Linked DNA regions of Xenopus tropicalis. The protein of the gene in region 1 interacts with the protein of each later gene in a biochemical or structural test. Links are inferred from orthologs where the notes say so. Each region holds a gene or a part of one and is shown in the gene's direction. Other genes may lie near its edges. The genes, in order: plin3 and m6pr.

What was found.
Region 2: the proteins of plin3 (region 1) and m6pr form a complex in vitro, tested with the Homo sapiens proteins (2 studies listed by BioGRID). The link is inferred for Xenopus tropicalis from reciprocal best matches to the Homo sapiens genes PLIN3 and M6PR.

The regions. Positions count from the first base shown.
Region 1 is NC_030677.2:93,721,833-93,726,183, forward strand, and holds the start of plin3 (perilipin-3), read left to right. Parts: upstream 1-1,523; 5' UTR 1,524-1,631; exon of another isoform or gene 1,632-1,642; intron 1,643-1,818; 5' UTR 1,819-1,843; coding exon 1,844-1,894; intron 1,895-4,024; coding exon 4,025-4,220; intron 4,221-4,351. UniProt on the Homo sapiens protein: Structural component of lipid droplets, which is required for the formation and maintenance of lipid storage droplets. Required for the transport of mannose 6-phosphate receptors (MPR) from endosomes to the trans-Golgi network.
Region 2 is NC_030683.2:7,999,185-8,003,001, reverse strand, and holds part of m6pr (cation-dependent mannose-6-phosphate receptor precursor), read left to right. Parts: intron 1-385; coding exon 386-495; intron 496-730; coding exon 731-861; intron 862-2,934; coding exon 2,935-3,061; intron 3,062-3,817. UniProt on the Homo sapiens protein: Transport of phosphorylated lysosomal enzymes from the Golgi complex and the cell surface to lysosomes.

The DNA.
Region 1 (4,351 bases):
TTCAAATTTATTTATACTAGATATTCCCACCTTCTAGCTCTGTTTCCCTGCCTGACATCACTGTAAGTGTGGAAAACAACAATATAAACCCAGTTCCACAAGTTTGCTGCCTTGGAGTCTTGTTTGACTCTTGTTTGCCCCTTCATTTATTCCTCAAATTTGAGGGTTTACTAAATTATGCCGCTGTCACCTTAGGGACATCTCTCATATTTGGCCCTTCCTCACACAAGAGGCTAATAAAATTCTCATCCATGACCTTGTCAAATCTCAAGTAGACTACTCTAACTCACTGCTCTCTGGATTCTCCCTATGTAAACTGACCCCATTCTAATCCATCTTGAACACTGTTGCAGACTTATACTCTTCTCCCACTCCACAAGATTCTTGTACTCACCTACAAAATGCTCACCAGTGCCCACCACTATATATAGTGCACCCTAATCACCAAGATGTAATCGTCCATCTGCTGTCCGTCTCTTACTTGCTCATTACTTCCTTTCACCCCCACATGCAGTAGTTTTCACGTTACACCTATCCTCTGACATGCTCAGTTAGCAGGGCTAAACTGATTGCAGTTTATTTTAAATTGCCCTGCAACATGTATTTATTAGACCCTGAATTTTCAAGTGATCTAGTCACCCTGTTTTTATAACCTAAACACTCAGCAACTTGACTACCCCCCAGAACCCCTCTACTCTTTGCTTACACAATCACTACTACTATCTCTTACTCTTCACTTTACTAAAAAACAGAAACTCAGTCAAACTCGTTACCCTCAACATACTTTCTTTTTCTGTATGCTCTAACAAGCAGGCCCTCCCTCTAACAATATCCAATTGTAACTGCAAATTAATTTTGGAAAAAAGGTATATGTTAAATATTTTGCCTTGTATTTGAAAAATAGCACTATATAAATAATAATAACTTACAAACTCTCCTTAGTAAGAAAAGCATTTTAAAATAACACAAAGGATAAATTTAATTCTTTGAATTCTGACACCTGATATAAATAAATCCATTTTGAAAGCATTTGACCTGAAGCAACTAGTCAATTATTATATTACTATATGGGTAATGAGAGTTTACATAGAAGGCTAGCCTTTTAAGGCTAGAGTTAAAAACAATAAAACCTACCTTTTTCTAACAAAACAAATACAAACGGGTCAGGCTGGGACACATGCAAACTCACACTCAGTCTCTCACAGACACAATCACACACACACACATACACACACACACAGATTTAGCCTTACCCCTTAACTGAAGTCATTTCCTAATATTCTCTCATTCTCACACACACATAGCTTCAGTCTGCAGCAGCATGCAGAGAAACCTGCAGTGTTATCAGGAGAGAGAGACATAATCAGCACAATCTAGGATCTTAAACATCATTGTAAGGACCTTGGGCACTTGTTGTTGTGCCCTGTTTGAGGGGAAAACTTGCCCCTTACTGTGGATGCCTATAATAGTATTAGCTACATAGAAACTGCTTCTCCACTGTGCTGCAGCTGCCTTTTTCTACTGCCCCTTTTAGGCACTGAGTATAACTCCTCCCACTCTGATGACACATCAAGCCTTTAAGTAGGGGGAAGAAAGGAGGAGCTGAACTTACAAAGAGAGGAGACGAGTGTGTAAGTAAAGTGTAGGTATTAGGGGGGCTAATACTATCATCGTTTCTCAGTGTAGTGGGATTTTTTTCTGACTGTAAACAGTTATGTCAGAGCTGTGCTGGATTGTGGGTGGGGGTTGTTAAATCGGAACTGCAGTGGGATAAGTGCTTTTTTGTTCATATCTTGGTGCTTCTGCTCTTTGCCCCAGGTTAAATATCAAGCTGCGTGGCACAATGTCTGAGAATGGAGCTGCGCCAATTGCTGATGAGGTTCCCGAGCAACAGGTGAGCAGCCGCAGAGGTATCTCCCTTTTGTGTGTCAGAATTTGAAGTGCTTATTAGTTTACACAGCATTAGGGACCCAGTATTTGTGATGTTTAACCAGGTATCCGAAAACACCTGCGGTACTAATAGATATAGTTAACCACAATAAGGGAAAAGGGGTGTTTCTGCTCCACCTTGAAGTTTTCCCTTCAAACAGGACAAGAACAAGTATCCCAGGTTCCAATAATTTTGTTTAAGATCTCAGCTCCAGCTAATTCTGTCTCTTTCCTTCTAACGCTGCAGGTCTCTTTGGTAGCTGCTGCAGTCTGAAACTTTTTAGATTGAGTCTCCTCTGTGTCCCTGCCTGGTCACATGATGTGTGTGTGTGTGAAAGAAAGAGTGTTAGGAAATGGCTTCAGTTGGAGGAAAGGCTAAATGTCTGTGAGAAACCTAAAAGGCTCATTTATTAACACGGGGTACATTTGCACCTTGGCAGTAACCCATTGCAACCAATCAACTGTGTACTTTCATTTTTCAATTTACAGTTGGCTGAAAAATAGTCAGTCACTGGTTGCTAGGGGTTACTGCCCATGGGCAAATTTGCCCAGTGTTTATAAATGAGCCCCAGAGAGTGTGAATTTGTTTGCATGTATCTGTATTATTGTACAGTAAAGGTCACCAAACGTGGTAATATCAACCTAAACTAGGCAATATCGGGCTAATTCAATTGTTTGGTCCTTGGGCCAAATGATCGGAGTAAAATGGCAGGTATATGGGCTACCGGACCAAGGACCACATCAACGGGCCAATACAGTCCCTGATTCGAGGGGAAAATAAAACCTGTCTTATCTAGGCCAAATATCAGTCAGGTAGGCTTGACGGCAGTGCCCATACACGGGCAGATAAGTTGGCCATGTATGGCCATTTTAAGTGGGGCCATTGGTACCTGTGGCTGCTGAAACTAGGGAAACCTATCAAATCTCAGTCTGACTTCTCTGTATTTATTCTGTTAGGGGATTTTAAGGTTGTTTTTTTGTTTTATAATATCTCTCCCCTTTAAGTCTCTCTGGCCCACTCTCCCCATTGATAGGCAGCTCTGTTCCTGTTTGCCAATCCTGCTTATAATGTACATGTACCAATAAGTCTCTCAGTATTAACATTTATTAGGCATCAAATATATATAAAATAGTGCCCAGTCAGCCTGCTATGTAAACTCTCCTGTATAACCCATATAGTGGTATTTTAGGCCTTAAAGGGAAACGAAAGTCAAAGTCACTTGGGGGTGCCAAAATGTTAGGCACCCCCAAGTGACTTTAACCGCTTACCTCTTACCCCGGGCTGGTGCCCCTGTTAGGAGAAAACAGCACCAGCCCGGGGCACCTGGAGCGCAGCGCTTCCGTCTTCCTCGCTTCCTTTTCCTGAGTGCCAGCGGTGGGCGCATGCGCAGTAGAGTGAAAAGCCGACTTTAACATTTAAGTTCGGCTTTTCACTCTACTGCGCATGCGCGCGCAGCGAATCAGCAGCAAGGAAGCGCCGGCAGCTACCCCGGGCTGGTGCTGTTCCTTCCTCACAGGGGCACCAGCCCGGGGTAAAAGGTAGGCGGTCAAAGTCACTTGGGGGTGCCTAACATTTTGGCACCCCCAAGTGACTTTGACTTTATTTTTCCTTTAATAATAGTTATAGCTTGCATAGCTACATAAGTGACTGCTTCTGGTCAAATGCAAATAGATTTATTTCAGGTGTCAGAATTTGAAGAAAAAGTACCTCCCTTTTTATTTGTTACTTTAAAATTTCTAGCTCAGTCCTTTTCCATCAGCCAACCATGTAGGAATAATGATTTTGGCAAAGATGTTCTTATATGTACACTACATGAAGACGGCAGATTTGGGACATATTCAGAACAGAGGCTCATGCAGGCTGTCAGTCCATATAGGGGCTACCAAATAGCGAATAACAGTCCTTACTTGGCACCACAGGAACATGTTTTATGGTTGTCTTGCTCCCCAAGTCTTTTTACATTAGAATGTTGCTCACGGGTTAAAAGGTTGGGGATCCCTGTCTTAAAATGTGCAGTTTCCTTTAATAAACCTTCACATGCTTTTTTGTTTTTGATCCAGTCCTCAAAACCTTTAGATGTATTTATTTCAACAGAATGCAGTGAGCCGAGTGACAAGCCTTCCTCTGGTTAGTTCGGCATGCAGTGTTGTTGGTGCTGTATATAGCTCCACCAAAGAAAGTCACCCCTACATACGCAGTGTGTGTGACGTGGCTGAGAAAGGTGCGAAGACTCTAACGGAGGCTGCAATGAGTGGAGCTCAGCCACTGCTAACGAGACTGGAACCACAGAGTGAGTAACAAATAAAGAATATGGAGGATAGTGAATTTATACACCTTTTTTGTTAGAGCTGTATAGCATGTGTGATCTTCTTTCAGGATAAAGGGGTGATAACAGCAAAAAAATAAAATAATTTCTTTGCG
Region 2 (3,817 bases), on another chromosome or scaffold:
CTCAGGTCCCTGTCTGTGTTTCACATGAGGGGTGGGTGTGTCTTAACAGTCCCTGCCAGAAGCACAGTAGGAGGGGAGTAGCCAATCACAGCCCTGCAATCACACAGAGACATGCTTCAGTTCCCTATCAGCCTAGCTGCTAGGGAAAGATAAGGAATATAAAGTAACAATAACAATAAAACCGGAGTCTCACAGAGCAATAGGTTTTGGCTGCCGGGGTCAGCGACCCCCATTTGAAAGCTGGAAATGTCAGAAGAAGAAGGCAAGCAATTCAAAAACTAATAAATAATACAAACCAATTGCAAAGTTGCTAGGAATAGGATATTCTATAACATACTAAAGGTAGAGGTGAACCGCCCCTTTAACGTGCCTCCCTTTCCCACAGGCGACTGGATCATGCTGTACTATAGAAGTGGCGACAAGTACGACACTCACTGCAATAACGAAGCGAGGAAAGCCATGGTCATGATATCCTGCAACAAGGGGACTGTCGGGGTGAGACCAACGGGACAGGAGTCTCGTTAATTACTAGTCATTAATTAATTAGCTCCAATGTTAAAGGGCACCTATCTGGTGCTAGGTGCCCTTTAAGGGTAAGAACCCACGGGGCAGTTGTGACAAATCACTCTGAAAAAGCTGCTTGCCGGACGGTCTTTGTGTTGGGCTGAGCTAAAAGCCCCTTGTGCAGTATCCACGCCCCCTACTGATAGGCTCTGCTCTTCCCCTATAGGACGGCTTCACGGTAATTCAGGAAGAGAGGAACAAATCCAGCGAATGTTTCTACCTGTTTGAGATGGACAGCAGCCTCGCCTGCCCTCCCGAAGAGTCGCATCTCAGCGCCGGCTCCATCCTCCTGATCGTGTGAGTTGGCTCGCCATTGGCCGAGAGCTGGAGAGAGGTTTTGGAGCTGCAGGAAGGGTTTAAAGGAACAGTAACACCAAAATATAAAAGTAATTACAATATAATGTACTGTTGCCCTGCACTGGTACAACTGGTGTGTTGTTGTACAGCAGGGTACTATATATATAGTAGGGTTTCTGTAGCAAACACCCCAGCTGTACCGGTGCAGGAATGGCTGCCCCCGGGGCTACACAGCGGGGTATTTATATAAACTATAGTAGGGTTTCTGTAGCAAACACCCCAGCTGTACCAGTGCAGGAACGGCTGCCCCCGGGGCTACACAGCGGGGTATTTATATAAACTATAGTAGGGTTTCTGTAGCAAACACCCCAGCTGTACCAGTGCAGGAACGGCTGCCCCGGGGCTACACAGCGGGGTATTTATATAAACTATAGTAGGGTTTCTGTAGCAAACACCCCAGCTGTACCAGTGCAGGAATGGCTGCCCCCGGGGCTACACAGCGGGGTATTTATATAAACTATAGTAGGGTTTCTGTAGCAAACACCCCAGCTGTACCAGTGCAGGAACGGCTGCCCCCGGGGCTACACAGCGGGGTATTTATATAAACTATAGTAGGGTTTCTCAGATTGCAGCCTTGTGCCTTTATATGGGGGGCACAGAACCCCTCAGTGACTGCTAATATCCTTATCATTTACAGTAGGGGGTACATTATCCCTTATAATACATGAGTGATACTCAGAGTTCCCTGTATAACTCAGCCTGCAGCCTTGTGCCTTTATATGGGGGGCACAGAACCCCTCAGTGACTGCTAATATCCTTATCATTTACAGTAGGGGGGTACATTATCCCTTATAATACATGAGTGATACTCAGAGTTCCCTGTATAACTCAGCCTGCAGCCTTGTGCCTTTATATGGGCACAGAGCCCCTCAGTGACTGCTAATATCCTTATCATTTACAGTAGGGGGCACAGATAACAATAAAAAATGGCTTAGCACCATTGTCCTTCTCTCGTCCCTTCAGAGACCCTGGAGCAGTTTATATGGGGGGAGCCGTTTATATGGGGGGAGCCGTTTATATGGGGGGAGCCGTTTATATGGGGGGAGCCGTTTATTTGGGGGGGGAGTGGTTCCAGATGAAACTGGGCGACAGAGCAAACGCTCACATAGCAGGGAACAATCTGTGCAGAACACAGTGAGAGAGAAACATGACAGACCTGGGGATAAAATGAAGCTTCATATGAAGTAGAATATTTGTTGCTAGGAAATAGTTTACGTTACATAGATGATAAAATACAAAAAGGCGTTACTGTTCCTTTAAGGGCCGTCACAGATGAGATTAGTCACTGGCAGTAAAGGAAGTTAATCCCAGGCAACTAATCACCTAATCTCCCATCAGCCCAAGGGAAAGGAGAATCATAACTCTAACAAACCGGATCCTCTCCCCTTAAGGCGGCCATACCCAGTGAGGCCCCCAAACGAGCCACTCGTTCCCACAACATGGCCACCTTTATGTTCACTTTTATTGTGTTATAGAACAGCCAATTCTAAGCAACTTCTCAATTGGTCTGCCTTATTTGTTACAGTTTTTAAATGGTTTAAACGCCTTTTTCTACATCTTTGCAGCTTTCAAATGGGGGTCACTGACCCCGGCAACCAAAACCTATTGCTCTGTGAGGCTCCAGTTTTATTGTTATTGTTACTTTTTGTAACTTTCTTCTCTATTCAGTCCCTCTCCTATTCATATACCAGTCTCTCATCCAAGCCACCCCCTGGTTGCTAAGTTAACTTGGACCCTAGCGACCAAATAACTGCTGAAACTCCAAACTGGGGAGCTGCTGAACTGAAAATGAAATAACGAAAAAACTACAAGTAATAAAAAATGAAGACCAATTGCAATTGTCAGAATATTACTCACTACACCATACTAAAAGTGAACTCCAAGGTGAACAACCCCTTTAGGCAGAGGCTGTAGGAAAGTTTATATTCTCAGTATAATGATATATACGGCCCTTTAGTAAATAACACCGGTTATACATGCCCATGTAAAATCCAATCCATGTTTAACCCGCAGGTTCGCTGTTCTGGTGGCCGTTTACCTCATTGGCGGGTTCCTTTACCAGCGCTTTGTGGTTGGAGCCAAAGGGATGGAGCAGTTTCCTAATATCACTTTGTGGCAAGAGCTCGGCAACCTGTCGGCAGTGAGTAGTGACACAATGGGTCGGCCATAAAGCGCGGGTCTGTGTGTGCGAGCGCGGGCCTGTGTGTGCGAGTGCGTGCGGGCCTGTGTGTGCGAGTGCGTGCGGGCGTGTGTGCGAGCGCGGGTGTGTGTGAGTGTGCGAGCGCGAGTGTGTGAGTGTGCGAGCGCAGGCGTGTGCGAGCGCGGGTGTGCGAGTGTGCGAGCGCGGGTGTGCGAGCGCGGGTGTGCGAGTGTGCGAGCGCGGGTGTGTGTGAGTGTGCGAGCGCGAGTGTGCGAGCGCGGGTGTGAGTGTGCGAGCGCGGGTGTGTGTGAGTGTGCGAGCGCGGGTGTGCGAGCACGGGTGAGTGTGCGAGCGTGGGTGTGTGCGAGTGCGGTTGTGAGCGAGTGTGTGCGAGTGTGCGAGCGCGGGTGTGTGCGAGCGCGGGTGTGTGCGAGTGTGCGAGCGCGGGTGTGTGCGAGTGTGCGAGCGCGGGTGTGTGCGAGTGTGCGAGCGCGGGTGTGCGAGCGCGGGTGTGTGCGAGCGCGGGTGTGTGCGAGCGCGGGTGTGTGCGAGCGCGGGTGTGTGCGAGCGCGGGTGTGTGCGAGTGTGCGAGCGCGAACTGAATCTGCATCCTAATTTGCATATGCAAATCAAGCGTTAAGTAAAGTTGTGCGTTTGTGTGTATATGAGAAATAAGGAGGCGCTGAGTCCAGGATTCGGTTTGGGATTTGGCCTTTTTCGGCAGGATTCGGATTCAGCCAGATCCATGGAAGATAA